Canis lupus familiaris: one gene and its partners. The protein of the gene in region 5 interacts with the protein of the main gene of each other region in a biochemical or structural test. Links are inferred from orthologs where the notes say so. Each region holds a gene or a part of one and is shown on either strand. Other genes may lie near its edges. The genes, in order: PCNA, CBX5, FBP1, IRF1, TRIM28, CBX1 and SIRT1.

Evidence for each region.
Region 1: the proteins of TRIM28 (region 5) and PCNA form a complex in vitro, tested with the Homo sapiens proteins (2 studies listed by BioGRID, with this or other methods). The link is inferred for Canis lupus familiaris from reciprocal best matches to the Homo sapiens genes TRIM28 and PCNA.
Region 2: the proteins of TRIM28 (region 5) and CBX5 form a complex in vitro, tested with the Homo sapiens proteins (6 studies listed by BioGRID, with this or other methods). The link is inferred for Canis lupus familiaris from reciprocal best matches to the Homo sapiens genes TRIM28 and CBX5.
Region 3: the proteins of TRIM28 (region 5) and FBP1 form a complex in vitro, tested with the Homo sapiens proteins (2 studies listed by BioGRID). The link is inferred for Canis lupus familiaris from reciprocal best matches to the Homo sapiens genes TRIM28 and FBP1.
Region 4: the proteins of TRIM28 (region 5) and IRF1 form a complex in vitro, tested with the Homo sapiens proteins (2 studies listed by BioGRID). The link is inferred for Canis lupus familiaris from reciprocal best matches to the Homo sapiens genes TRIM28 and IRF1.
Region 6: the proteins of TRIM28 (region 5) and CBX1 form a complex in vitro, tested with the Homo sapiens proteins (3 studies listed by BioGRID). The link is inferred for Canis lupus familiaris from reciprocal best matches to the Homo sapiens genes TRIM28 and CBX1.
Region 7: of the proteins of TRIM28 (region 5) and SIRT1, one has a biochemical effect on the other in vitro, tested with the Homo sapiens proteins (2 studies listed by BioGRID). The link is inferred for Canis lupus familiaris from reciprocal best matches to the Homo sapiens genes TRIM28 and SIRT1.

Annotation. Positions count from the first base shown.
Region 1 is NC_049245.1:16,928,612-16,932,695, reverse strand, and holds the start of PCNA (proliferating cell nuclear antigen), read right to left. Parts: upstream 2,801-4,084; 5' UTR 2,605-2,800; coding exon 2,384-2,604; intron 1,324-2,383; coding exon 1,226-1,323; intron 1,058-1,225; coding exon 990-1,057; intron 101-989; coding exon 1-100. UniProt on the Homo sapiens protein: Auxiliary protein of DNA polymerase delta and epsilon, is involved in the control of eukaryotic DNA replication by increasing the polymerase's processibility during elongation of the leading strand.
Region 2 is NC_049248.1:45,635,736-45,640,071, forward strand, and holds the start of CBX5 (chromobox protein homolog 5), read right to left. Parts: upstream 3,009-4,336; 5' UTR 2,849-3,008; intron 1-2,848. Other genes in the region: HNRNPA1 (heterogeneous nuclear ribonucleoprotein A1), read left to right, coding at 3,664-3,678, 4,230-4,336. UniProt on the Homo sapiens protein: Component of heterochromatin that recognizes and binds histone H3 tails methylated at 'Lys-9' (H3K9me), leading to epigenetic repression. In contrast, it is excluded from chromatin when 'Tyr-41' of histone H3 is phosphorylated (H3Y41ph).
Region 3 is NC_049222.1:72,684,715-72,689,180, reverse strand, and holds the start of FBP1 (fructose-1,6-bisphosphatase 1), read right to left. Parts: upstream 2,884-4,466; 5' UTR 2,645-2,883; coding exon 2,475-2,644; intron 2,378-2,474; exon of another isoform or gene 2,363-2,377; coding exon of another isoform or gene 2,352-2,362; intron 1-2,351. UniProt on the Homo sapiens protein: Catalyzes the hydrolysis of fructose 1,6-bisphosphate to fructose 6-phosphate in the presence of divalent cations, acting as a rate-limiting enzyme in gluconeogenesis. Plays a role in regulating glucose sensing and insulin secretion of pancreatic beta-cells.
Region 4 is NC_049232.1:20,767,571-20,770,203, forward strand, and holds the end of IRF1 (interferon regulatory factor 1), read right to left. Parts: intron 2,116-2,633; coding exon 1,980-2,115; intron 1,657-1,979; coding exon 1,544-1,656; 3' UTR 672-1,543; downstream 1-671. UniProt on the Homo sapiens protein: Transcriptional regulator which displays a remarkable functional diversity in the regulation of cellular responses.
Region 5 is NC_049222.1:100,138,289-100,142,749, forward strand, and holds the start of TRIM28 (transcription intermediary factor 1-beta), read right to left. Parts: upstream 2,870-4,461; 5' UTR 2,584-2,869; coding exon 2,244-2,583; intron 1,902-2,243; coding exon 1,789-1,901; intron 1,589-1,788; coding exon 1,456-1,588; intron 1-1,455. UniProt on the Homo sapiens protein: Nuclear corepressor for KRAB domain-containing zinc finger proteins (KRAB-ZFPs).
Region 6 is NC_049230.1:24,332,854-24,337,378, forward strand, and holds the start of CBX1 (chromobox protein homolog 1), read right to left. Parts: upstream 2,918-4,525; 5' UTR 2,813-2,917; intron 1,982-2,812; exon of another isoform or gene 1,754-1,981; intron 1,741-1,753; exon of another isoform or gene 1,667-1,740; intron 1-1,666. UniProt on the Homo sapiens protein: Component of heterochromatin. Recognizes and binds histone H3 tails methylated at 'Lys-9', leading to epigenetic repression. Interaction with lamin B receptor (LBR) can contribute to the association of the heterochromatin with the inner nuclear membrane.
Region 7 is NC_049225.1:19,900,511-19,904,808, forward strand, and holds the start of SIRT1 (NAD-dependent protein deacetylase sirtuin-1), read left to right. Parts: upstream 1-1,428; 5' UTR 1,429-1,446; coding exon 1,447-1,864; intron 1,865-2,140; exon of another isoform or gene 2,141-2,159; intron 2,160-3,655; coding exon 3,656-3,772; intron 3,773-4,298. UniProt on the Homo sapiens protein: NAD-dependent protein deacetylase that links transcriptional regulation directly to intracellular energetics and participates in the coordination of several separated cellular functions such as cell cycle, response to DNA damage, metabolism, apoptosis and autophagy.

The DNA of each region.
Region 1 (4,084 bases), on a different chromosome or scaffold from region 5:
CGCAGGAAATTACAACAGCATCTCCGATGTGACTCAGATCTCGGCATATACGTGCAAATTCTCCAGAAGGCATCTTTACCACACAGCTATATTCTTGTTCCTGTTAAAATGAAAAATTAGAGTTCACTTGCTGGAAACTAAATTTGGCATTCTCATTTTTCTGAAGCCTCAGCATTTAGACAAGAATTCAGAATTTAAGGTTTTCTGATTACTTTAAAATATCACTCATTGTGTATTTCCATAACATAATCTCTAACTCAAAAAATAAATGCAGATATAAAACAAGTATGGGGATCCCTGGGTGGCGCAGCAGTTTGGCGCCTGCCTTTGGCCCAGGGCGCGATCCTGGAGACCCGGGATCGAATCCCACATCAGGCTCCCGGTGCATGGAGCCTGCTTCTCCCTCTGCCTGTGTCTCTGCCTCTCTCTCTCTCTCTCTCTCTCTCTCTCTGTGACTATCATAAATAAATAAAAATTAAAAAAAAATTTTTAAAACAATATGTCATAAGAATAATCATACTAAGAAAACTAAAATTAAAGTTTAAATCTTTAATGATAAATGCACTATCCAGGAGAAAAGAGCCTCCCCCTAAATCCCCCTCCAGGGCTAAATCAAGAGGACATTAGGGTATGGCCTACAAATGATGATGCGTGTGCAAGCAGGCCCAACTGCTTACCAAAACAAAACAAGAAGATAAGATAGTAAGGATTTTAAACATCTCAACATTTCTTATGTTGATAAACCTCACCTGAATGAATTTCTGCTAACACAGCTTTATTTTTATTTTTAAGATTTTATTTATTTATTCATGAAAGACACAGAGACAGAGAGAGAGGCAGAGACACAAGAAGAGGGAGAAGCAAGCTCCATGCAGGGAGCCTCAATCCTGGGACTCCAGGATTATGCCCCTGGCGGAAGGCAGGTGCCAAACCGCTGAGCCACCCAGGGATCCCCTAACACTGCTTTAAAGTCTACTCTTAATACTCACTGGAATTCCAAGTTGTTCAACATCTAAATCCATTAACTTCATTTCATAGTCTGAAACTTTTTCTTGATCTACCAAAAGAAAGCAGATTGAAGAAAAGTATGTAAGTTTATAACTATGCCATTAATAAGCTTTACAATCATTAGGAACATTTTCTTAAGTTTTTCACAACTAAGAGAAATCTTTTACACTGCATTTAAATTTCCTCTAATATAATTTAGTAGAAGAGTATCACCTACTTGGAGCTTCAAATACTAGTGCCAAGGTGTCCGCATTATCTTCAGCCCTTAGTGTAATGATGTCTTCATTGCCAGCACATTTTAGTATTTTGGACATGCTAGAACACGGAAGACACAGGATTTAAAATTGCCACAACGTTCTCAGAATCGTTAAGATTTCTGACCCAATTAAAACAAGGAGTTACCATCTTTATTTACCAAGGTCGTCTGAGGAATTGGTGAGTGAGGTAAACTAATCCGGCCATTTTGTAACCCAATTTGGCAGTATTTATTCTTAAACAGGCACACAGCCTACCATGAGCAATTTCACTTCTAGATACAAATAAAAGAGCAGCATTTCACGCATTGCAAATTGCAAATCCCTTTGGTGCGCGAAGCAAATTATTGGGTCCTGACGGTCAAGAAAAATGAGCTAAGATACTTATTAATACACACTGCATGCAGTCGAGGTCAACTATTTCTCATAAGCCTCATATTTGAACATGTTTTTGGAAGGCGGGGTGGCTCAGTGGTTGAGCGCCTGCCTTTGGCTCACGTCGTGATCCCGGGGTCCTGGGATGGAGTCCCACATAGAGCTCCCTATGTGGAGCCTGAGGGAGCCTGCTTCTCCCTCTGCCTGCGTCTCTCACGAATAAATAAAATCTTTAAACATGTTCATGTACTAGACATGTAGTGATCAAAGAGTTGAAAGCCACTGCCCTGGAGAAATTTTAAGTCCAGGAACTTAGGGTGCTCACTGCAACTTCCTAATAATAAAGGACCAGAATCAACCGATGGTCCCTAGGTAGGGTGACGTAACTCGGGCACATTATAAAGCGGTTAAAGGCAGTCAAGCCAAAGGGTTCTCATCCAAGGCCGCCGGCACTTAGTGGCCAAGGTGCTGTGTAAGTCTTTTCCCGGCACCACGAAGAAGCCCGTCATTTTCCCGCCACCACCCGCTTTGTGACTTTGGCGCGGAAAACGCCGGTTCGCGCGGCTGCCAGCGCGGGCTTTCGGAACCGCGCGCTCCGCTAGATCCCGCCCCTGGGCGCCGCAGGCCAATGAGAAGGCGCGGGTCGCCCACGCCAGCCAATGAGGACCTAGCTCGCAGGCGCTCCCGCCAAGAGCCGGAGGTGGGGGTGCGAGAGAGCCCGGCCCTTGGCGACCCCAGGGGCTCACCTGGTGAGGTTCACACCCATGGCCAAGTTGCGGTCGCAGCGGTACGTGTCGAAGCCCTCGGAGCGCAGAGTGAGCTGCACCAGGGAGACGTGGGAGGAGTCCATGCTCTGCAGGTTTACGCCGCTCGAGCTGATGTCCCAGCAGGCCTCGTTGATGAGATCCTTAAGCGCCTCCAGCACCTTCTTCAGGATGGAGCCCTGGACCAGGCGCGCCTCGAACATGGTGGCAGAGTCACAACGACACAGCTGCAGGCGGAGACGAAGAGGAAGTTGTAGCCGGCTTGGCGTCACGGGGTACGAGCGAGCTGGCGAACGCAGCGGCGAGGGCCGGGGAGCCGGGACGATCACCGCCCGCCCGCTCCGCCTGCAACCGTTTAATAGCGCCGCGTCTGCTGGCGCGCGCGCTCCGCCTCTGCGCCGCGCGTGGCGCGTCACCACGTTGCCCCGCCCACTCCCTGGCGGACGGACTCCGGGGCCAATAGTGTCCTTGGCCTCCGCTCCAGCCCGTCCTCCCTGAACGTCCACTGAAGGGTCGGCCGCAGGGGCGGGGCAGGGGCGGGGCAGGAGCGGGGCGCCTCCGCCTCCCGCGGGACTGCCTTCTCCACCCCGCTCGCGACGCCGGGCGCTGAACAAGTCTGGGCTTGTGACGGCCAGACCCAGGTTGGGGTTCTTTGAGTTACAGCCTTGTGCTGCCTCCTCAACCTCCCGCTTCAGGACTAGAAAGGCTTTGGCCGTGAAAGTGAAAGGCAAATCCAGCCCACCGGGAGGAAGACGCCTGGCGGCCCGAGGAATACAGCTGTTTTAAAAGTGCATTTTATTTTTGCTATCGTAGAAGTGATGTGTTGATAAATGTTGCTAAGCTGACCACTGAAAGATTGCAATCTACAATATTTTCCTAAATACAGATATCAGCAATCTTGTTTTAAAAATCTAAGCTTATTTGCGTGAAAATTCTGATCTGCATATTAAAAACTTGTTACAGGGGGCACGTGGGTGGTTCAGTCAGTGGAGCCTCTGCCTTTGGCTCAGGTCATGACCCCAGGGTCCTGAGATCTAGATCCAAGGTTGGCTCCTGGCTCCGGGAGGAGTCTGCTTCTACCTCTCCTTCTCCCTCTGCCCCTCCCCAATATGTTTTCTCTCTCAAATAAATAAGATTTTAAATATTTTATTTACTCATGAGAGATACAGAGAGGCAGAGACGTAGGTAGAGGGAGAAGCAGGTTCCCTGCACAGAGCCTGATGCAGGACTCAATCCCAGGACCCCGGGATCAGGCCCTGAGCCAAAGGCAGATGTTCAACCACTGAGCCACTCAGGTGTCCCCATTTGTAAATTTTTTTTTTTTTTTTTTTAAGATATTCGTGAGAGACACACAGAGACAGAGAGAGGCAGAGACACAGGCAGAGGGAGAAGCAGGCTCCATGCAGGGAGCCCGACGTGGGACTCGATCCCGGGACTCCAGGATCACACCCTGGGCTGAAGGCGGCGCTAAACCGCTGAGCCACCTAGGCGTCCCCTCCCCCCACCTTTTTTCCCCCACCCCCCCCCCTTTTTTTTTTTTTAAACAGGTTCTTTTTTTTAATTTTATTTATGTATTTATTTATTTATTTATGATAGGCACACAGTGAGAGAGAGAGAGGCAGAGACATAGGCAGAGGGAGAAGCAGGCTCCATGCAGGGAGCCCGACATGGGATTCGATCCCG
Region 2 (4,336 bases), on a different chromosome or scaffold from region 5:
CCAGTAAAGGAAAGAGGCTTAAAGCAGGTAAGAATCTAAGATGCATCTAATCCAAGGTCCACCATTCCATTATTTTAGGCAGTCAAACAAAAGATGCAAACAATCCTGTTACACTGCAAGAAATAATAAAAACTTAATGAAATTCTCCTTTCTATCCAATGGAACGATGAGCTCTCTATATCTGAAGAGATTACCATTAAGATTTAGCGATCCATTTATCAAAGGCTACTTCCTAAACACTTCATTCACCTTCTCCCACTAATTTCCAATTATTAAAATAAAATACTTTGACAAGATTATCAACTCTAGCATCTGTCATTTTATTTATTTTTGTAAATTTAAGTAATCTCTTCACCCAATGTAGGGCTCAAACATGACTCGAGAGCATCAAGAGTTGCATGCTCCTCTGCTGAGCCAGCCAGGTACCTCCAGCATGTCAACTTAAATCAACGTTGCTTTTTAAATTTTTTTATTAATAGTGAATTCTTTAGCTGCACTCCCAACGTGGAGCTTGAAGTCACCACCCTGAGACCAAGAGTCACATTCCTCAGACCCAGCCTGCCAGGCACCCCTAAATCAACAGTTTTCAACCGAGGAAGATTTTGCACCACCACCGCCACCATCACTACCACTGACATCCCCAGGACATCTGGCAATGTGTGGTGACATTTTGATAGTCACAAATGGGTGTGAGGGAGGAGGTGAAATGCATTTATTAGCTTAAAATGTCAATAGTGCTGTAAGAAATCCCGTAAGTCAAGACTATTTCTTTTGAACCTAAATAAATTAGGGAGAACTGTAATTTAGATCCCTTTAGTTCTTATAAACTCAGCAGAAGCAGCTGATTAGCACACCTACAGTTTATAAGGAAATACGAAATCAAGTTGTCCTCTTGCAAGTGTCAGAAAACACAAATCTCTCCAGTCTTCATTATATGGACAACTAAAATTAACTTTCCTTTGTATAATGTCACAAAGGTCTATAATCAGAAGTGTCCTTCATACACAGTTAAACGTATTACAGCATCTAAACATCTTTCTAATAACCTTATGCCATTGATCAAGAGGGCAATTTAGATTCTGATATAACCATTATGTAACGAAAACGTCTTTATTTTTACTAAAACATCTTCAAATCAGCTGAATGGGTGTTACCAACAGGTGATTACAGTGCCTGTAAAATAAACACTTTGAAGAAAATACAATGAAGGCAATGGAATAATCCAGGTGATGGAGGAGTCCTCCTACCCCTAACACCCTAAATATCATCCATGTTAAGCAATTTGTCAAAATTCAGACATCCTTAGAGGAATAGCAGAAAGAGTCTCGGAAACTTTTTAATGGATGGGACGCCTGGGTGGCTCAGTGGTGGAGCGTCTGCCTTGGGCTCAGGGCGGGACCCCGGGGTCCTGGGATCCAGTCCCGCATCCGGATCCCTGTGGGAGGTCTGCTTCTCCCTCTGCCTGTGTCTCTGCCTCTGTGTGTTTCAAGAATAAATAAAATCTTTAAAAAAGAAAAAAAAAAAAAAAGGAAAGAAACCTTTTAATGGTGTAAAGAAAGATACAAAAGTTCACAGAAGAGACTGAGGTAAAAAAAAAAAAAAAAAAGACTGAGGTAAAGGCGTGGAAACACAGATGATGCGTGTAAAGGGTTTACTTACTTAGCACAGCGTCTCCCTGGCAGGTACTAAGTACACAAAAGAAAGTCAAGTTTTTAAAATTGTGTTTTTATTCTGAGCATCACCGTGTTAGTTCCGCCGGCGCGCGGGGGGGCGGGGGGGGGGGGGGGAGGACAGCACTCTCTCGTGGTGTAGGGATGACACAGGGGGAGGGGAGGAGCAGGGGATCGTGCCTGGAAACACGAGGGCTGCCTTTCCCATCTTCACCGAGTCACAAACTGCGATCCCTGAAAGGACTTGAGCGGGAGGGACGCCACCTGCCCGGATCCCACCCGGGCCCTGGACACGGACGCACGGCGGGAGGCGGCCCTTCCCACACTTCTCCTGCGGGCTCACGAGCATCCGCCACCGGTCCGGGGAAGGCCGCGGCGTTCCGCGCACACGTGGGTCGGCGCCTGTCCGCGACGGCAGCGGCTCTTGTTCCGATGCGCGCGGACGCTGCCGGCCAAGCGGGTTCCCGACGACCGGCCGAGCTCCCCTGGGAGCCTCCACGCGCGGGGCGACCAGAAGCCCCGGGGTGCGTGTGCGCGTGCGCGTGCGCGAGCGCGTGGAGCGGTTATGCCGAAGCCGAAGCGACACGCCACAGAGTCAGGGTCTCCCTACCGGAAACGCGTGTGGGGTGAAGGCCCGAGCGCCGGGCGCCGGCGGCCACTGTGGAGAGAACGCGCGCCCCCGCGCCCCCGCGCCCTCCCGCCCGCTCCTCCACAGCCCGCAGCGAGGCCTCCCGCTTCCGCACCGCTGACTGGGCGACCCGCCCGGGCGCCGTCCGCAGGCCGCCCGCCGCCGGCTCCACAGCGGGGCCTCCCCCTCGGAGTCCGCCCGCCGCCTCCGAGGAGCCCAACCTACGGCGCGCTCGGCGCCCATTGGCTCGGCGGGACGCTGCTCAGGGCGCAGGGCCCGCCCCCACGTCCCGAGGGCCCGAGGGCCCGTCCGTCGGCGGCAAAGGCGGACCCGATTGGCCCGCGCGCAAGCCAGTCAGACTCCGGGCCGCGGAGCCCCACGGCACTCCCGGCCGGCAGACATCCCGCCCCCGCCGTCCATTGGTTGGCTGAACCCAGCGCTCCCCCTTTACGAGCCCCCACCCCGCGCTCCATTCATTTCACACAATAACGGGCCCAATTGGAGTCAGTTCAACACCTCGTATGAGTAGGCGAGACGATCCGCCGCTTACCCGGAATCGAGACCGGCCACTCGCGCCAACGCCTCCCCTGTTCCTCTGTGGCGAGGCCGGACCACGGGACGCCGCCGCCGCCGCCTTCTGCGCAACGCCAACCGCCCGCCAAAACGGATCCTTCCCTGCGCCTGCGCGGCCAATCCTGCGACCGGACCCTTTCTCCGCCCATTACGCCTGCGCAGAGCGGGGCGCGACTCCCGCCACGACGCAGGCGCCGTAGAGTCGCCGCCGTCTCCCGCCCGCCATTTCACGTGCTCCAAGCGCCGAGCGGAACTGGTTAGTGCGCCTGCGTAAACTCGCCATTTTACTACACATGCGCCCGGCGGGCGGTCGTTTGCAAAAAAAAAAAAAAAGAAAAAAAAATCACCTGATAACCTCGTTCGTAATATATTAGCATTTACCGTGCTTCGCCAACTGAGCGGAACATAATTTCGGGGCGGAATGGATTGAAAATTCATTTAAATACCTTAGGTTCGTTCAAATATGAATGACTGGTTGACGAGCCAATCACAGTAATTAGGAATAATATTACCCGGGAACCAATAGACCTGAAGGGGCGGAGCCTGCGTAGAACGCCCAAGCGGATGACGTTGCGCAGCAGTGCGGGGCTATAGACCAATAGCAGGGGGAGGCTATCGCAAACATCCAATCAGAGACGCTCAGGGGCGGAGTCTACCAATGCCTAAAGCGAGGAGGCGGGATAAAAAAGCGAGGCCGAAGGTAGGCTGGCAGATACGTTCGTTAGATTACTCCTTTCTGCCCCTGGACGCCGCCGAGTAAGCATCGTTAAAGTCTCCCCTCCCACCGCCGTCATGTCTAAGTCAGAGGTGAGTAACACGCTGTCTCCCGCCTAGTTTCCTTCCTCACTCCTTCCCTGGGGCCGGTAGGACGCGGCCTGGCGTGGCCGCTCGCGCCAGCCCGTTCGGCAGCCCTTCGGGGGCCGCCAGGGCCTTCCCCTCCCGAAGTTGAGGTCGCCATTTTGTCCTCGTCGTCGCCATGAGGCCGCCGTCCTGCAGCGCTTGGCTGTGGCGCCGGGCTGCGCCCTCCCGGCAGAACTCGCGGGCGCATTCGACGGGTTTTGTTTGATCGTGTCTCCGGGAGCGAGTTTCTTGCGGAGCAGCCGTAGTTCCCCGCCGCTTCGGCGTCCGTCCAGCCGAGTCCTTTTGTTGCGCGTGCGTCGGAGGGAGAGTCGGGGCGCATGCGCCCGCGGCCTCCCAGCCCCCACCGCTCGGTCCCCCCCGAGGGGAGAAGCACGTGGCCTCCCGTAACCCGAGGGAACAATACGTGCCTTGTAACGCTGCTGTCTAGGATTTTCCTCCCAACGGGACGGGGCTGGGCGTTGGGCGCGCCACGTAACGAGCTGTGTCCCCGCTCCTAGTCTCCCAAAGAGCCCGAGCAGCTGCGGAAACTCTTCATCGGAGGTTTGAGCTTCGAAACGACCGATGAGAGTCTGAGGAGCCATTTTGAGCAATGGGGGACGCTTAC
Region 3 (4,466 bases), about 27 Mb from region 5:
TACATTTTGTTGAATTAAATAGAACCAGTGAATTCTTCAAGCAGTGATTTGGAAGCATGTACAAAGGCAAGTCAATTCTACATGCCTAAAGCAAAAGCCTAAGCCACTGGAGATCCACTTATGGTCTGCTGACTCTTCTCCTGGGAGAACAAAATGCTGGTTGCCCCTTGTATAGATTAGCATCCTTTCTCTCTGGGGAGTGAGTAGGGGAGAGCCAGAGCACAGAAATAAGGCTTCAAGAACAAGTTTTCTAGAAGGCAATGGCTTCTTGAGGTACAATTCTTAATTTGCATCAAAAATAAATAGGTGAGGGATGCCTGGGTGGCTCAGTAGTTGAGTACCTCCCTTCGGCCCAGGGCATGATCCTGGAGTCCTGGGATCCAGTCCCACATGGTCGGGCATGTCGGGCTCCCTGCATGGAGCCTGCTTCTCCCTCTGCCTGTGTCTCTGCCTCTCTCTTTGTGTGTCTCTCATGAATAAATAAATAAAATGTTTAAAAAATAATAAAATAAATAGGTGAGATTTAGAGTTGGTTGAGCTTTAACTGGCTTGAAAAATAAAATCAGAGACACATGGCATAAAGAGTCCCAGCCCAGGCAACAAGCCCACTCACCTCCTCTCCCCTGCCCTCAAGGCCCTCAGCTGTACAAAGAAGGGTTGGACAGCCAAATTCTACCATTCTATAAATGTCTTATTAACCACAATGAAACTGGCGACAAGAGCAACTGTTGGTCGAGAGAGAGAGAGAGAGAGAGAGAGAGAGAGAGAGAGGATACTCCAGGCTCAACTCTTAAACTCCTGATGTGTCCCTGATGAAACACCATGTCTGAGCTCCATAAACTCAGACCTGTGAGGTTCTTGCAAATCTGTCATCATCTTGTTGACGTACCTCTGGGTACGTGCCCTTCTAGGGCAAGCCTTCAGCTGAAAAAGTTATTTGCAGGCACACTGGCCTTTTTATCCAAGATATCAAAGCAAATAATGAGTGTGATTTGGAGGCCTGGCTTGAGACCCTGTCTTATTGCTGCCTGCCCGACTGACTATATGTCATAATGACATAGCCAAATTCTTATTTTCCCATACGAGTACAGGAGTGTCCAGATTCCTGGCCATGCCCTGTCAACCAGGCACCAACTCCTGTTCCATAGGTATGACACTATTTGAAACAAAGACCTGTGAAATGGCCAAACCTAGAGAAAGAGTTAAATTACTCCTGGAACACTACACAACATTTACAAAGAAAGAGGTGGATTTATACATACTGACAGTGAAGGATATTCATTCTATATTGTTGAATGATGATGCCATTTGTTTGCTATTTACCTATGGGCCATGTCCTTCAGTCCAGGACATGATCCTAGAGACCCAGGATCAAGTCCCACATCGGGCTCCCTGCATGGAGACTGCTTATCCCTCTGCCTGTGTCTCTGCCTCTCTCTCTGTCTCTCATGAATAAATAATAAAATCTTAAAAAAAAATGTGCACACCAGAATAAACCAAAGGGTATTTGTGTTACTTACAAAAGGCCTCATAAGTAGGTGCCCAACGAATCCCCAAGTCCCATGATTTCTTTGTTACACACAATGTGATCTGCAGACTCTCAGCATCTGCACCACCTGCCACAGAACTTCTTCGAAATGCAGAATCTGAATCTCAGGCCCGGCCCCAGACCTACTACAGCCCTTTGCAACAAGCACAGCTGCTCCTGAGAGGTCTGGACATGTATGCTTCCTCCCAGCCTGCCTGGGGCTTCCTTCACTCCTAATGTGACTTACTGAGGGTAAAGGAGACACCAAATTAGGCAGCCCAGGTGGCTCAGCGGTTTAGCACCACCTTCAGCACAGGGCGTGATCCTGGAGACCCAGGATAGCGTCCCACATCAGGCTCCCTGCATGGAGCCTGCTTCTCCCTCTGCCTGTGTCTCTGCCTCTCTCTCTCTCTCTGTCTCTCATTAATAAATAAATAAAATCTTAAAAAAAAAAAAAGGAGATACCAAATTAAAAACCTGACTTGGGTCCCCAATTCCAAAGGGAGGGAAGAAGATCAAAGGAGAGAAAGGGAAAGGAAGCATCGTGCAGGCACTTTCCTGTATGAAGCTGGGTTGGGTATGGTGGGCTGGGCAGGTGCTCAGCCTGGCCAGCCAGTTTCAGCAGGAGGAGCCTGAGAGCGGGTGCACAGGCAGACTGCTCAGTCCAGGGGAGACTGCTGCAGGATAGAGGCAGGTGTGAACCGTGAGCCAGGTCCCGCCGAAGGGAGGGGTGACCAGGGCTTGGTTGCAGTCCAACAAGCTTTGCGAGAGGGGCTGCCCGAGAAAGAGAAAGAGAAAAAGAGCGAGAGAGACGGACTCCCACCTGCCAGACATGCAGGCAGGCTGACAGCAGGAGGCCCAGGGCCCCGCACATGGGACTGCCGAGCAGACCCCCAACAGGACAGACAGACAGGGCGCGGCCCGATAGCTGGGAGGCCCGACTCACAGGTGCGCAATGCCCGCCTTGCGCACGGCCGTGGAAATGGCTTTGACGGCGGTGCAGAGCGAGTTGAGCAGCTGGGTCATCTCTCCGGTGCCGCGGGCCTTCCTGCCCTCCTCCATGACGAAGCGGGTCAGGGTGACGATATCCGTGTCGAAGGCCGCCTGGTCGGTCATGCTGAGGCCGGCCTGAGGCGCGCTGGGCGGCAGGTGAGCGCGGCAGGTGCGGGCGGCAGGTGCGGGCGGCAGGTGCGCGCGGCGGGACGCGGCGGAGGACGCGGCTCGGCTCGGCTCGGCTCGGCCCGGAGTGTCGGCGCGGTTCGGAGCCTACCCCGGCCGGGCCAGGATCCCGCGGTCGGGGCCCGGGGAGCCTATAGGCGCGGGTCGCCGCCCCCGCCCCCGGAAACCACCGCCCCCGGGCCTCCTCCCGCTCCGAGCGCGGCTCCGCCCACGCCGACCCCGCGGTGACCCGCCGGTGCCCCGGTGTGGTCCTCGGGCCGCCGCGCCCCACAGGGGCCCGTCCTCCGCCCCCTCCGCCCCCGCGTCTGGGCGGCGGCTGCCTCCGGCCTCGGCCTTGCGGAGTGGCACCCAGGGCCACCTGCAGGACCTCCTTCAGTCCCCACCCCAGCCGGCGCCCAGGGGCAGCCCTGACCCCTCCCTCCCTCCCTCCAGGCTGCAAGACGGAAGTCCTGCGGGTGAGGGCAGCGCCGGCGGGGCGCGGGGTGGGGGGAGGGGGGGCTGGCGGGCGCCGGGGTCTCCGCGTGGGCTTCTACCGCCGCCGCCCCCGCACCCCCCTCAAGCCTCCACCTGCCCCCTGCTCCCCGCCCTCCCCAAACCTGCTCGGCCTGCCGCAGGGCTCTTCTCACCAACCTGGGAGAAGCGGATTCCCTGTCCCTCACGGGTCTGAAGGCCCGTGGCTGGATCCTTCACTTCAGGCCTCTTCTTTTCAGGATTCCTCTCTTTCCAGAACTATTGGAAACCATAGTTTTCAAGTATCTGCGTTTGGCAGAAAAAAACAGTCACAGACACAGGGAAATGTCCCCTGAAGGCCACACTGAGACCAGACACTCTGCAGACCACATTCTGATCTCTATGTAGCCAGAACACTGTTGTCTTAAGACAACACTGATTCATGAACAACATTTATTGAACACCTACTATGCACCAGGCACTGTCTTTTGCTGCCCTGGGGACAGAGCCTGAGCAATACAGACAAAACTCCTTCTTTGACCTTACATTTTAACAGAGAAAAATAAATAATAAACCAACAATAGATTGGTATGTTAGATGAGCCATGTGAGCAGTAGAGAAAAATGAAATAGGAAATGGGGACAGGGAATGTTGGGGTGCAGTGTTAAAAACTAGAGTAGTGAAGGAAACCCTCACTGAAAAAAAAAGGCTGGTAAGCGTAATGTTTCCTTAAACATGATATCTGAAATGTAATGACAGCAGCAGCAGCTGAGTTTGTCCCTTTCTGTGTCAGACATTTAGCCCCTGGGGATCCCAGATTAGCTAGGACCCTGAAAGTCAGCTAGTTCAATCCAGTCCCCCTGAAGTGTAAACCTTTGGAAAGCAGCCCTGTAAGCACTGAAGAGCTCAGGACTGGGGTTAGACAGGCCTGCTGCATTCCCAGCTCTGGCCTCTCTGGCCCTTTACCCAATCTGTCTACTTCCAGTTTGTCTGTAAAGTGGGATGACTGTTCTAGATGGGAGTCATGAGCATGCCATGAAATGATGTTGGCAGAGCACTCAGTTCCAAGGGGACTGACACAGAGGAAACACTGCAGACATGTCACAGACCTGTCTCGGCTCTGTTATTGATGCCTTCCGCCCACCACCTACAAGGCAAGCCCTTAGAGGTGGGCCACTTAGCATGGTGGTTGAGTGCGTACTCTAGAGCCAGAGGGCCGGGGTCTCAGCCCTGGCCTTGCCCCTCACAGTGGTAGAAGCCTGTGCAAGTTACTAATCTTCACTGAAGAACATTTCACTCATCTGTAAAC
Region 4 (2,633 bases), on a different chromosome or scaffold from region 5:
GTATGGTAGCCATTGACCACATGTGGCTATTTACATTTTAACTAAAAATTCAGTTTCTTGTGCTCACTTCAGCAGCACATATACTAAAATCCAGTTTCTCCATCACACTGGCCACATTTCCAGTGCTCAGTTGGTACATGTGACTTCGCCACTACCTACTACAGTGGACAGTACAGAGGGAGAGGACATTTTCATCACTGCAAAAACCGGACAAGGAATGCCCACCACAACAGGCCTCAGGAACCTGTTTTGGGCTGGTGTCTGTTGTAACTGTCCATGACCATGCAGTACTAATTGTTAACTTTTTGAAGTAGCATCTGAATACCCTTGGATTTGAGTTTAGCAGGACATATAGTTTATGGGACACATTACTCAGAACTGAAAAACCTAACACTGTCCAGACCTTGGAGCCCCAGTTCAACTCACAGCCTGGCTATAAATCTAAGGGCAAGTGATTATATTTATATGAGCATGTCCCTGTACTGTGATTGTCCCTTTTTCCTGTCATCTTCTCTATGAACATAACTGGAAGGCTTCTGCAATAGATGCATGTCACTGCTCACCCCCCAGTCAAGTTCAGGCAGGATGCCAAGAATGACTCCATCAAAATAAAATGTCTCTGTAAGAAAAAAAACCACTTGCAGTTTATCTCTAAATAAAAGGCCACACCCTTTATAAACAATTAACTTTTTATAAAAAGATAAATGTACATATTTACACACATGTACATATGTGGTCACACATGACTTAGTGGTTAGATGGCGTTTCCAATTTTAAAAATCACACCAAGACGCTCCCACTTCCCTCCCAGGGCCTGCTGAGGGCTGCCAGGGCCTGCCTGAGGGGGCAGGTGGGCGCAGGGCAAGGCACAACATAAATAAATGTAAAGGCTGAGAGCTTGGGGGAGACGTTAGTGTACACCTCTGATCAGAAAAGTGGCAAGGTCCACAAGAAAAAGTGCCATGTTCTTTCCCAAGCCCCTGAGCCCAAGCAGGGCGGAGCTCCTCTACAGCTGAGGGAGCACTGTCCTGCAGGGCCCCGTTTCCTTCACATTTCACTGGCTTTGGAACAGTCCCTAGGGCTCAGCTGGGAAGGGGGGGAGGGTCTCTGGGAACAGGATTCCCTTAGTGCAATTGTCTCTTAGTGCAGAGCCAGCCCTGGGGTTGGTGCTGTGCTTCTCTGAGGTCACTGGTCTGTTCCCTTGGGCCACCTCAGCAACAGCGAGACCCTTTCAAGGCAGTCGGGCTGAGGGGGAAAGCTGGAGGCTGACTCCTCTCTGAGAGTTCCATCTGACACATCAATCTCATAATCCCATCTTCCCAGGAGGCAGGGCCAGCTTTACCCCACAAGATGAGCCCAGACCCTGGCCTAACAGAACCTAAAGGGTCACTGTCCTAAGGAGGGAGGTTCCATCCCTGCTCAGCAATGGAGTCATTCTCTGCCATGTCAAGGAGCCCACAGGAATCCTGTTTCTTTGCATCATGGCAACCATGATGCCAGGTCCTGCTCAACACCTAGGGGAGTCAAAGGGGCCAGGGCCCAGCTATGGTGCACAAGGAATGGCCTGGATGGAGGGCAGTCTGACTGGAGTCAACAGGCTGTCCAGCCAGCTGGTGTCCATGTTCTTCAGATCTGAAGAGATCAGCCCAACATACCCTAGAAGATGTGAAGAAGGTTGTATGAGGATGGAGGGTAAAGACAGGTGTGTTCCCCTCCTGCCCCTCAGCCCTATCCCTGTAGGCCACAGACACAGCCGCCTCTACTGTCCCCACATGGCAGTAAGCACCCTGCCTCCATCTTCAGGCAGACCTGAGTACGTGGGAGCAGCAGCCAGTTTGTAAGCTGTCTGTACCAAGAAGAGTTGAAGAAAGATGCTTTGCCTCTCCTGCTCCCTAGCCCAGTCCCCCAGCCCTTTCCTACCCACCCCCTGCCAGTTTCTCGCTTCTCGGAGAAACCTTCCAGCTACAGGGACTTCTTACCCCCAGGGCTGTCAACTTCTGGTTCGTCCTTGCAGCTGAAGTCTCCATAGAGAGAGGGGGGCTGAGTCCCAGGTTCATTTAGCAGGTACCCCTTGCCATCCACGTTTGTCGGCTGCCACCCCGTCTGCTCCAAGAGCTGGTGACAGAGGAATAAGGAACCATCAGGTTACTTCCAGGGCAGATTCATCCTCTGGTCTTGCCCTCAGTGAGCCAAACCTTCCCTACCAGCATCGTACCCTTGGTCATTTGCATGTTCTCAGATGGATGCAAATGTGGACTGTGGTTAGGACAGGGGCCTGCGAATTGTGGATCTGCCCTGGACTCATGCTCCTACATCTCCCCTCTGGCACAGAATCTCCTAAGACTTTCCCCCTCAGCTGAGTGAGGACATACCAACCAGGAATGTGGCATAAAGTAACAGCATCACAAGTCAAGAAAAGAAAAGAAAAGCTAGAGATAGGGAGCTATGCCTACGTCTCAAGTTTTCTATGCTGATGAAACACAGCCTGGGTACAACTACTGCAACAACTGTTTTATATTCGCTTTTAAGATTGAAGCAGGACAAAAAAAAAAAAAAAAAAAAAAAAAAACAACACACCCCTGGAGAATAATTTGCTTTAAGGAAAAAAAGAAAAGAAACAAAGAAAAGGAAAA
Region 5 (4,461 bases):
CTGCAACAGTGGCCAGGGTAAAGCACAGGCCTGTAAACCTAAATCTTTCCTCTCAAAATCTTCAGCCCAAACCTGACCCAGAAAAATCACTCCTCCTTCTAGCTACTGATATTGACAACAAAATCTGAAGACTTTGGCAGAGACCTTCCTCTTACTATTCCCTCTACTAGAACCTTCCCAAATGGATACTCAGGAGAGCTCTTCCATCTTGAAAAGCACCACTGGCTCCACTCCTCCACTCGCAGTAGGTTCTGTCCAGCAGAGGAAGGCACTCTGGCTACTGTGCCATCCAAGCATATAAAATGTTTGCTTGCTGGTGTAGACAAAAACAAATCAGAAACTAGAGACACTATTCAAGCACAGCTTCCTTAGAAGCCATACTTTGGTGATCTACCCTCTCGAGTAAAAAAAAAAAAATGCACAAACCACTTATATAACCCATAGACCTACAAAGGATCCAGGCCTTACAAAGCCTTCTCAGAAGAGGTGAAATGTCAGACCACAACCCTCACAAAGATGTCAGAACCCCTCTTCTGAGGGGAGAGTCCTGGTACTTTGAGTAATACCACCTAAAGACCAATATACTACCTCACCCCCAACCTGTCACCATCATTAAAAAGCTGCTTGAGACAATCTATCCCTCTTTCCTACCCAATCCCATTTACAACCTGGCTGTATCATCCCAGCCCAAAACACACGACTTTGAGATACAAATCAGCCAGACCATGGATCCTCTAATACTGCCGCCTCCTGTACTCTGCCCTTTGCCTTAAGCCAGGACCTCCTACAAATCCCTGCTCTTCGCTCCTGGCTCCTGATTCCTCGTGCCCCCACAACCACCATCTCCATTATTATTTTCCTGCCAATGCTCTGCTCTAGGACTGAGAAGCCACAATGTAACTACCAAAAGGCGACCCAGAGTGTTCTGGAACAAAAAAACAGGATAAACTCAGAAAGATCCCAAGCCCTTTTCTTTGCCACTACCAGCGTCTACAGGAGTCTCTTAATACCTACCTGAGTGAAACACTCTCTAAATACCTACCTGAGCTGAACATGTATAACCCAAAGTTCTAAGACTCTCCATAATGCTATTCAGGGCCTGTGCAACTTAAACACAGTGGCTCAGAGGTCTCATTTCCCCCTACAGAACCATAACAAGTTGCCAGGGAACCCCAGTCCAGCCCCTCCACTACTGGGGCTTATCCCCTGTGTGCTGCGGGGGGGAGGGGCCTGATGAGCTTGCCTGAATCCTCAGTGCACCCCCTCACACTTCTGTGGTCATTTCCCTCCCACTGGACCCACACACCTGAGCCCCATTTTTTAATTCTGCCCTCAGACCCTTCCAGAGGTACCCTGATAAAGCTCCCTGGGACCCATCCATCATCAGTAACCAGCACCATAAACAGTTGAGAACATATGCAAGATAACCAAGGCTTTCTGCTCTGCCTTGCATACCAGTGGAGCGTACGGTGTGGTCCTTGGTGTACTTCACCCGCTGGTGTGCTTCCACACACGTCTCACACAGTGGCTCAGAGCACTCCACACAGTAGCTGGTGGCAGGGGCATTATCCTCACAGCTAGTGCAGCACTAATGGGCAAAAGCAGAGTGAGAAGAGGCAAAAACGCCAAATAGATCCACGTCTACACCCCAGATAACACAACCTAAGCAAAGTGTTGCCTTCACCTAACCTATACAGTCTGCCGAAACACTGGTAGTATGAGAAGAATAAAGTCTGGAACTGATTACATGTATTGAGGCCTCCTAGGGGTTGCTAGGGCAGGACATACCTGATTTGCATCCTGGGAGTCTGTGGCAGCCTTGCTGCCACTGTCACGCATAAAGTAATTCTCCACAATGTCTTTGGAGAAGCATTGCTGTTTGCATACAGGACAGTCGACCACTGCCAAAAACAAACAAAATAATGAGATTATGAGCTCACAGCCAAGTCGTAACCCATCCCCCCAATGAGCCCAACCTTCATCCCAAAGAAGGCCAAATCCTCTCATTAGGAAGCAGAAACCAAACCCTTCTTTCATCGAACTTGCAGCATATGAGCTCACGCCCAGGACAGAACCCACTGCCCATACTCAACCTGACCAACTACTATCCGCGTCCCTATCCTCTCGCTCAGGCGATCCCCCGCCATCGTCACGCTGGGAACAGACCCCCCAATCCCGACGCCGAGTGGGTATCAAAGCCTGTGGGGTGGGGGGATGGGCTGCCCCGGCCCGACCGTACTCACCGGCGCCGTCACCCGCTGCACCGCCATCCCCCGAGCTGTTGGCGGCGGCGGGCGCCGGGGGCCCGAGGCAGGCACTGCAAGCCGAATGCAGGCAGGGCAGCAAGCGCGGCTCCCTCTCGGGGCGCAGGCGCTCCCGGCACACACCGCAGTGCTCCAGCAGCTCCAGCGCCTCGCCGCCGCCCCCCGCGGGCGACGACGCCGAGGCCGAAGCCGAGGCCGAGGCCGCGGCCGACGAGGCGGCGGCGCGCTTTTCGCCGCCAGCCGAGCCCTCGCCCGGGCCCGGGCTGCCCGAGGCGGCTGCCGCCGCCGCCGCGGAGGCCGCCGCCGCAGAGGCCGCCATTCACACGCCGCCGGGGGCGCCCAGGGGGGAGGAGGGGCGCGGGGCCCGCCGCGCAGGCGCAGACGCACTCGCCGCCAACGGCTGGGCCGCTGCCGCCGCGAGGCCGAGCGCCGCCACGCGCCTCCTGGGCTACTGCCCGCTGCGCGCGGGGCGCTGTCGAAGCCCGGCCGGCAGCCGCCCGCTAGCCTCCCGCCGACGACGACCGCGATCCCTCTTTAGAGGCCGCCCAGACACCGCGCCACACGCCACGCGAACAACCGCTCACCCGCGCGCCCGCTCGCAGAAAGAGCCGCGGCCGGGGGGCGGGACAGAAATAACTGGCGCCGACGCCGCCGCGCAAGCGCGCTGGGCGTCTTGCGCCCGGGGGCGGGGCCCGGGCTGGCCGCCCCGAGCAGGGATGCGAATACGCAAGCGCCGGAGCCGGGTCTTCCCACCTCCGCCTCCACCACCTCGGCGCCGCCTGTGCGGCAGGGGCGGAACTATTGATATCACCGCCGCAACATTGTGCCCGGGCGGGGCGCGCGCACCTTTGCATGCGCTTGCTCCCCCTCTAGTCCCAGCCCCTGACCGCGGTTCTGCGCAGGCGATTTGGCAGTCCAGGCCGCCACCTCAATCCCCGCCCCTTAGGCCAAGGCCAAAGAAGTCTCCAGTCTTGGCGTCTGCCAGTGCTGGGGAGAAAGGCTGCGTTCAGAGAGAGAGGCCGAGAGTCCCCTTCCCACTTCTAAGCCAAGTGGTTGACTTTTGGGTTTTAATCGCTTTATTGTTTAGCTTGCAAGCACTAAAACCTGCCTAAAGCAAACAGATTCCAAGGGGCTACAGAGCAGCGAGTCCTGTGAAATCCCGCCTGGCCCCCCAAGCGCCCCCTTCCCATCTTCTAGGCAACCGCTGCGCTGACTTGGATGCTTTTCCAGGTGGGCGAACCGAATGAACAGCAACAGTGGAGGAATTCTAAGGAAGGAAGCAGGGTCTGTGTAGGGAAAACCCTATCAGAGGGAGGAAGCAAGATCCTAAGAGAATGAGGCAGCATCTATGCGGGGGCCTGGGGGTGGAGGGGCAGAGGAGTTTCTGTCTGGGGGAGGAAGCAGAATGTCTGGGGATAATTCTGTCAGATGGGGAGAATGAGGCCTGTGAGGGGTGGAAGGAACCCTGTTTGAGAGAACCATGGCCTTTTTGTGGGAATCCTGTCTGAGGAGGAAGCAGTCTGTGGCAAGAATCCTGGGTGCTAGGCAGGGTCGGGGGGGTGTTGGGGGGTGCGGGAAGGAGAGAAGCTGGGTCTGAGCTGGGAAGCAGGGCCTACGGTGGAGGCCGAAAGATCCTGTTTGATCCTGTTTGAGATGGAGCAGTCTGGGAGGGGATCGTGTTTGAGGCAAGAAGAAAGCTGAAGGGATGGATGCCTCGGAGCTGGTCCTTGGAGTGGCCCTTGAGCCCTTTTGCAGGGTTCCTGGTGCTGAGATCTCTATGCTCAGAACAAGGCTAAAGGGGGCGGGGAGGGGGCGGCGGTCAGCTTTTGAGAGGATGCAGAGAGCATGCTGGCTGGCAAGTCTGGCCCCAGGACCCTACTCCGCGACTCTGGGTTCAAACATAAAACCGTGGGCAGAGCAAGGCGCCCACGCGTGGTGGCAGTGGAGGCGCGTCTGGCCCTACTGGGCGGGGTGTGGCCTTTGTTCCCGGAGGGAGTTGGGGGGCTGTGGGGCTTTGTCTCGGTGCCTGCCTTTGTTCCAGCCTGGCCGCAGCCCCCAAATCCGGCCCCCGCCCCGCCCCTTAGCTGAGCTATTACGAGCCTCTGCCCCCTACCCACCCACCGGGTCCGCGGGGCCACGCCCCCATTGAGTGGCCCGCCCCCTCCATGCTGCTACCCCAAGGCTCTGGCCTCAGATC
Region 6 (4,525 bases), on a different chromosome or scaffold from region 5:
AAATTATCAGTATCCCGCAGTCAAAAACGCAGAAGGCTAGGGTATCCTTACTTGGTCCCTTTCAATCACGAAGCTAGAAGCAACAGGCTACACGCACTATTTACATCTTTAATGAAAAAACTTAGGCTACAGCAGCCAAAGAAGAATAACAGCACCAAAGGGAAAACTGGAAATGAATGAAGATCCTGAACCCCCGCTAAAGCTTTATTAAGGTGTGACCAGTTCCAAGTTCCAACGGGTTTCCCACTCAATCATACCACTTACAATATAAATGCCTGTAAGCACCTAGGGAGGAACACAGGCACTAATTTCCCAATTGTATTCATGTTTCCATTCCAAACTTTGGACCTTTTCAGAGCTATTCCAAACTGCCAACACGATTCTTAATACAACTGAGGAGGCGATCTTAACCCTGGCCAGAGTTTTCCAGTATCACTGATCTTTTTGTAAACTCCACCTCAATGGAGTTAAACCAATTCAAGTCTGCATATAAGGCCATCCATGAAAAACCTTCATCTGAAGCTTTGAAGAAGTACTGCTCATTCCCGTATTCAAATTTTGTAACAACAAAGAAAGGCTAGCTTAAAAAGAAAGAAAGAAAGAAAGAAAGAAAGAAAGAAAGAAGACAAAGCAAAGCAAAGCAAAGCAAAGCAAAGCAAGAAAATCATAAGAGCCTAGGAAACAAATCTCACGATCTCACTAACTCTTCTTCTTTGTCTCCCCATTTCCCACATCATCTTACATATCTCTCACTAACTTAATTCCTTAAGTATGAACCCATCTACACGTTTCTACAATACCACTGTCTTTTGCGACCAGTGACGATCCCAGATAAAAACGTATGTAACTGTGAATCCAAGCAAGCGCTGCACTTGGGATTTTTTTTTTTTTTTTAACTCCCCGAAGGAATCAAAAGAGCTGAGGCAGTAGAAAACCTGGAAAGGGGGAAGAAATCTGGGTTTTTTGTCCTTTCTTCACACATTATTCTTACAGCCTCCCCACTGTGTGAGGACCCATCAGGAATCAAAGGCGGCCGGTTTTCCCCTTTCAACTCCTCACAGAAACACTCTCGGGGCCTCCGCCCTACTTACTCTCTCAGCTCCTCCCTCTCCAGATCCAACTCGGCACGTAACTGCCCCTTCCTCTCCTAGCCCCCTCTTCAGTTTATCCAACAGGTCTCCTCCCCGAGTAGCACACCTTGGACTGCCCAGCCCCCTCGAAGATGTCCTCGAAGTTACTTGTCCTTAGCCCGGCGAGCGGCAATTCCGCTGGCAGCCCCGGCCGGACCCCAAATTCTCAGGTGGCATTCGAAGCCAAGGGTCTCGCAGCCGTCAGCCCTCCCCTCGCCGTGTCCAAACATCAAGGCTGCCCAGCCTGTCCCCTCCTCGCTGTACTCAAGTGTCTTCCCCCAATCCGGCAGCCCACCCAACCTACGTAGCATTGTCTCGGTCCACCCAGGCCCCGAGGAGCGACCCGCCAGGGCTCGGCCCACCCCGAATCGTCTCGATCTCCTGCTCAGAGTACGCCGCCCGCCCCGCCCTCTCCATCCTTTTCGCGCCCGGCGCCCGACCCCCTGCAGCCGGCGGAGGGCCCCGTGCGGGAAGGGCGCGGGACCGGGTGCGCTCCCCGTTCCCACCCTCCGCTGCAAGCCCGCGCGGCCCCTCACCCAGGGCTCCCGCCGCTGCCGCCGCCGCCGCCGCCGCCGCCGCCGCGCGCCTCCCCCCCGCGTCCCCGCCTCTAGCGGGCTCTTCACCTCAGAGCAGCGCCCAAGAGCCCGAGAGGAATCGGTGCCGCGCTAATGGCGCGTCGCGTCGGGCCGGCCGGGGGAGTGGCGCCCAGAAAAGCAACAAGCCGGTGGCCGCAGTCGAGCCCCTCACTGAAGCGGCGTACCGCAGGCCCCAGCCAACGGCCCTCCCCTCAGCCGAACAAAAGAGCCTCGCACTCGGCGCTGCCCGCCGCCCGCACCGCGCAGGCGCGGCGACCCTCCGCACAGCCGTATGGGATTCGGAGTCCCTCCCAGACTACAAGACCCGAAGTGCTGCGCGCGTCCTACGCCACCACGCGGAGTTGGCGAGGGGTTCGGGGAGTTTTAGTTTTTAAACTGCAAGCGCTGGAACGAGTGTAGTTTAGAATGCTGCAGCCTAGAGCATTAGAGCGTCTGGTTTCGCAAGTGACCCCCATGATGCTTGGTCCGAAAAATCAACCGTTTCTGGGCAGTAATTCACATCCTCGAAAGTTTTTAATCTGAATAGGTGTCTCACCAGAGTTTTGTTGACTTTCCAATAATCTCTGTAATCCTCAATTTCTGCCTCAAATTTGTGTAAGGCTCCTACTTCCCCTTGGGAGTCTTGCTTGCCTGACGCTTAGACTAGGTTAGGTTCCCCTGGTCGTTGTCATCGTGGCATCTTACCTTTTTCGAACTTACCTTTTTCGTTGGCTGTGCCAAGTGGAGAGCTTTAGTGCAGAGCCCGCTCATCCCCACCAGCACTCCTCACCCAGCCACCTCCCAAAACATGGAAAGAGGTGAAAACCACCTCTTGTTATTCTTCGAGACAAATGGTTTAGTTCTGATTTCAACTATATCGCTGTCCTCAAACCTATTCATACTGGAAATTCCGTCTCATGTCATTCCTCCACTTTATTGTCTTTAGTTGGTGTGTGCTGTTCCCTAAACTCCATAAAGGCAGAAATCTTGCCTCGTGTTGTTTACCACTCTATACCCAGTGCCCAGTATAGTCCCTGGCATACAGTTGTCAAGCAATAATTGTTGAATAAATGATTAAATGCATTAATGAAATGTTCATCTCCTTACCTAACGGAAAGTGGAGGTTATTAGCATTTTCTTCACATCAGATTTGTGAGTGTTTCTCTTTCTCTCTCCTTTACTCTTCTTTTTTTTTCTATCTGACCAGGAACTAAATAGAACTACCAGAACATGACTTTTTTTCTTTCTTATTTGAATATTCAAATAGCCTCCTAATCAGAGGTAAAGAAGAAAGCCAACCCAGTCTACTGTATTCCACGTCAGAGTATTTACGTTAACAGTTTTGCTGAGTCAGGCACTGTGCAGGGCTCTGGAGAATTGTGGTATAAGAAACCCAACCAAATAAAAGAGCCGTGAGAGCACAGAGAAGAGGACAATTCTTCCTGAGACATTTGGGTTTAATGTCCATGGAGAGTAAAAGTCCATCTACTCACTCCTTCCTAAAGTCTCCTATTTTGTTTTTATAACTGTAACGATGAGAAAATTAGTTCTAATAATATTAACTATTCCTTTTTTTTTTATTTATTTACGATAGTCACAGAGAGAGAGAGAGAGAGAGGCAGAGACACAGGCAGAGGGAGAAGCAGGCTCCATGCACCGGGAGCCCGACGTGGGATTCGATCCCGGGTCTCCAGGATCGCGCCCTGGGCCAAAGGCAGGCGCCAAACCGCTGCGCCACCCAGGGATCCCAATATTAACTATTCCTATTAATGCTTACCTCAGCACTAGGAATCCTGTTAAGGCCTTGATTTAAAAATGTATATATTTATTGGGACCCGGCCTGGAGCCTGCTTCTCCCTCCGCCTATGTCTCTGCCTCTCTCTTTGTGTGTGTGTGTCCCTCATGAATAAATAAAAATAAAATCTTTAAAAATATATATTTATTTCAGAAAGAGAGAAAGATCACATGCACAAGCAGGGGGAGTGGCAGAGGAAGAAGGAGAAGCAGACAACTTACTGAGGAGGAAGCCCCGAGCCATCTCTGTCTCAGGACTCTAGGATCATGACTTGAGCAGAAGGCAGACGCCTAACCGACTGAGCCACCCAGGCGCCCCTGTTAAGGCCCTGATTAGTGTTTTTTAATCCTAAACAATGCTGGAAGTGGGAATTACTATTTCCATTTTACAGAAAAGACTCAGGTTGTGTAATGTGACCAATGACCTTCAGCAAGAAGGTGGTAGAACTGAAGTCTGATGTTATCTCTAACTTCCAAACCATAATTCTGCCCACATGAAATGCTACCATACCTAATTCCTCATAGTGAGCTGAATTCTGCTTTCCCATGTTGAATACCATTTCCTCCTAATTCTGGGTGTGTGGTTGCACACAGTTGTGTTCTATAAACCTAATTCCCCTTTCATATATCCTTCTAGTATTGAAATTCAGCCCTTATGTTCCCCCAAGGTCTTCTCTCAGCTAAATGTCACAATTATCTTAAACCTACGTCATAGGAACACAGTTTCAGGTCTAGCACATATAGTTTGTTAGTAAATTCTGGGCTCTTTTTAAAAAGATTTTATTTATTTATTCATGAGAGACATAGAAGCAGAGACACAGGCAGAAGGAGAAGGAGGCTCCAGGCAGGGAGCCCGATGCTGACCGATCCTGATCCCTGGACCCTGGGACCACACCCTGAGCCAAAGGCAGATAGATGTCCAACCACTGAGCCACCCAGGAGTCCCAATTCTGGGCTCCTTATATGGGTATTTCAAGTAGAGGGAATCATTGCACAGATGCTTTACACCATTCTTGAATTACAGAA
Region 7 (4,298 bases), on a different chromosome or scaffold from region 5:
GATCAACATTGAATTTTTAAAAATCAAAAGAAAAGTTTTTTCCCACAAAAATACACGAAGAACCACTTGCTGGCATTTATATTTTGAGTGCCTGGGATAACAGGCCGGTGTTCAAAGGCAGTTCATAACAGGTTGTACCAGGACTCGTTGCATCTGATTTAGCACCAAGTAAGAGTAAATATCCCACTGAAGATGTAGCTGATTTTTTCATCCACCTCTCATCGCCCCACTCTTCCTGCCTTTTTTTCCTTTAGATAGTTCTAATGCCACACTGCACAGGTGGTAGATGCCCTACCAAACATTGGCTCTAGATCTGCCATGTATTATTGGAGTCTTTAGTTAAGACTAGATGTAGAGTGACAGTGCTCTGGAATTTCAGGAAAGTGGAAAGTAGAAGGGCTTCTAGTATGCAAGGAACTTCATTCATTCATTCATTCATTCATTCATTCAGGGACTGGTATTTTTGAGCTACTCCTCACTTTACATCTATCTTCTAGCTTATCAGTATAGGTCTTACAACCCTACAAATGTTACCATTTTAAAGATGAGAACATTGCCTATAGAAAGGCTAAATTGCTCATGCTAGTAGGTGAGAATCTCAAATTCCAACGCAAAGTCCCAAGCGTAGACCCGCCAAGTCATCATGTTCATTCTGCTCTTTGCGAATGGCCCACTTGACCCGATGCGTTCAGAAGGAATTCAAGACACCTTTGCAGCCCAGGTGGTGCCAGAAAACAAACAGGCTGATCCCCGGCGCCCCAGGTCAGGGGTTTTCAGGGGGAACACATGCCTTTAAGGATGACAATTCACACCACCCTACAAGTGATGGGGCTGGGGGGGGGGCAGTCAGCTAGAGACAGGAGCAAGAAGTAGGAAGAGGAGCCAAGAGGAGCTGTCACATTGGTGTGAGGATGAGGAGTGAAGTCTTTTATCCTCCACTTAGGCTGGTGGACACGACTATCCAGCGTGCGAAGCTCGGCCTGGGCCAGCTTCATTCCTCATCGTTTCTCAGGAACTAAGTTTTAACCCTTTACCTTAAACCTGGAAAAGACTAAAGCAAGCGAGCCGTGCGCTTCAGACTTCAGCGGAAACTCGCAGGGGGAACCAAAAACTTGGGCCGGCCGGGCGACAGCGACGCGAGGCCGGTTTCGAAGAGCGGCCGGGAGCCGGGCGAGCGCGGCGGCCGGACGCGCCTGCCGCAGAGGGTGGGTGGGGCCGCGCTTCCTCCCAGCCCACGCCGCCTCCGCCCGCCACGTGACCCGCCGTGTTGTGGTCCGGCCCGCGTGGGTGGCGGGAGCGGCGGGAGGGCGGGAGGGCGGGGGCGACGGGGCCGGGTCACGTGACGGGGTTTAAATCTCCCGCAGCCGGAGCCGCGGGGGCGCCAGTGCCGCGAGTCGAGCGGGAGCAGAGGAGGCGAGGGAGGAGGGCCAGAGAGGCAGTTGGAAGATGGCGGACGAGGCGGCGCTCGCCCTTCAGCCCGGCGGCTCCCCCTCGGCGGTGGCGGCCGAGAGGGAGGCCGCGTCGCCGCCCGCCGGGGAGCCACTCCGCAAGAGGCCGCGGAGAGACTGTCCTGGCCTGGGGCGGAGCCCAGGCGAGCCCGGCGGGGCGGCCCCTGAGCGGGAGGTGCCGGCGGCGACCGGGGGCTGCTCCGCGGCGGCCGCGGCGCTGTGGCGGGAGGCGGCGGCGGGCGGGGAGCGGGAGGCCCAGGCGGCGGCGGCGGCGGCCGGAGAAGGAGACAATGGGCCGGGCCTACAGGGCCTCTCCCGCGAGCCGCCGCCGGCCGACGACTTCGACGACGACGACGACGACGACGAGGGCGAAGAGGAGGAAGAGGCGGCGGCGGCGGCGGCGATTGGGTACCGAGGTGCGCAGGGCGCGGGCGGCTGGGACTGCGCATCCCCTCCTCCCTCTCTGGGGCCCCTTGCGGTGTAGGGCTTTGGGGGCTCCGGGGGGCGGGCTGGGGGCTCAGGTCTGGCCTGCGGCGCCCCCTTCCCACCGCGGGCCTCGGCTGCGCTCCTCCCCGGCTGCCGGCGGGGCTGCGGGAGCGGCCCGCGCACCCCCTCCCTCCGCTCCCTTTTTCCCTCCCTCCGCCGCCCGCCTGCGCGGCTTTGCGCTTTGCGCAGCCGCCGGGCCGCGAAGCTCCCGCAGTTGGTTTTAAAGTAAGTTTCTCTCTCCTCCTACTCTCTTAGCTTATTGCCTTTGTTTAACATCTTTCGCTTTTCCGTATCCCCGCTTCCTTGCACACGTAAGTCTGCAACTTTTGCCCGTCCCTTTTCATCAACCTTTTGCAGTTGTCTTTGCAAACTGATACACCTGTGCAATTCACGGCTTTTTTTTTTTTTTTTGAGGGCCTTTATTTTTAAATTTTAAGGAGCAAAGCTATTTCTAAAGTCATAACCCACAAAATTTGAGAAGCATCGCTAAATTTCTGAAATGTTGCAATGAATGCGTATTGGGAGACTGATAGTACTTTAAGACTAGTAAAGTAGGCTTTTTTCTTTTCTTTTTTTAAAACATAAGATTGTATTTATTCATGAGAGAGAGAGAGGCAGAGACATAGAGGGAAAAGCAGGTTCTCTGCGGGGAGCATGATGGGATCCCAGGACCCCGGGATCACGACCTGAGCAGGTTCTCTGCGGGGAGCATAGGGGATCCCAGGACCCCGGGATCACGACCTGAGCCAAAGGTGGACTCTCCACCAACTGAGCCATCCAGGCGCCCCAATAGTACTTTTTTTTCCTAATTATATATACTTAGAATGTTTTTTAGATTAGATATAATTTTGCGTGTATGTGCGTATCTGATAACCCTGAAACACAAACTCATTTTTGTTGTTGTTGTTATGTTAAAGCAGATGTGTTAGTTGTGTATGTCATATCATCTTTGAGAGTTTTCATATTTTTCAGTCTGAGGAGTTTCTGTCGTGAATGTTCGTCTTTACCAGTAAATTCAATCTGGAGCATTTGATCATAGAAGTGCATTAAGTTCTTGATTAGTAAATCACTTATTGATTTCTGTAAACAGTTTAATATGGGAAACGAATAATGCAAATATATCTTTGGAAGTCTAGTATTATGTAAGAGAAGGGCAAATAATTGTCATGAATTTGAATGATTTCTGTTACATTTTTGACCAGTTTCATGAATTCCCATTACTTGTGATCAATAAGTTCAGTTTAGATTACCACTCTGTGTTTTGATTAAGTAAACCTAACTTATTCCTAGATTTTCATGAGCTGAAAGTTTTAAGATTCGGTGCAGAATGTGTAAAGATGTGCATATATGGCTCTTAGAATGGTGCAAGCTGACCCAGTAGGAAGTTTTTAACCTAGGTACTATGAATGAATGTTCAGTGGTTTATTCAGTGAAAGTCATTGCATCATAACTGTTACAGATTTGTATACATTTTATTTTATTTTATTTTATTTTTAAAGATCTTATTTATTCATGAGAGAGAGAGGCAGAGACACAGGCAGAGGGAGAAGCCGGCTCCTTGCAGGGAGCCCGACGTGTGGGACTCGATCCCGGGTCTCCAGGATCACGCCCTGGGCTGAAGGTGGCGCTAAACCGCTGAGCCACCCGGGGTACCCAGATCTGTATACATTTTAGAGGCAGATTGTTTCATCAGCCTTTAGTTACTTTGGTTTCTTTTGCAGATAACCTTCTGTTTGATGATGAAATAATCACCAACGGTTTTCATTCCTGTGAAAGTGATGAGGATGATAGAGCCTCACATGCAAGCTCTAGTGACTGGACTCCAAGGCCCCGGATAGGTACGGTTTCAGAGCTTTAGAGAATAATGTCTTTTTCTTTTTTGTATTTTTTTATGTCAATTAAAAATAGTTTTCTGTACCCTTATAACTTGATGAGGTTTTTAGGTGCTTCTTGAGATTTAGTGTCAGCTTGTGTTTCTACGGAAGGTCTAGTACTTTGTTCTTTTTGGTTTTAAACAGTTTAAGCCCCTGGAAGCTGGCCTCTGGTATTTCTCAATCAGGTCCTTCTCACACCACCAGTTCTTTTCACTTGTACCTCTCTGTGTGGAGTGCTTTTTCTCCAGCGTATCTTGCACTCTCTCAATTCAAGTCTGTTTTTTTTCTTTTCCTTAATACTTAATCACTTTTTTTTTAAGATTTTATTTCTTTATTCGTGAAAATACACAGGAGAGAGAGAGGCAGAGACACAGGCAGAAGGAGAAGCAGGCTTCATTCAGGGAGCCTGACATGGGACTCGATCCCGGGTCTCCAGGATCAGGCCCTGCCTGGGCTGTGCTAAACCGCTGAGCCACCCAGGCTGCCCCTT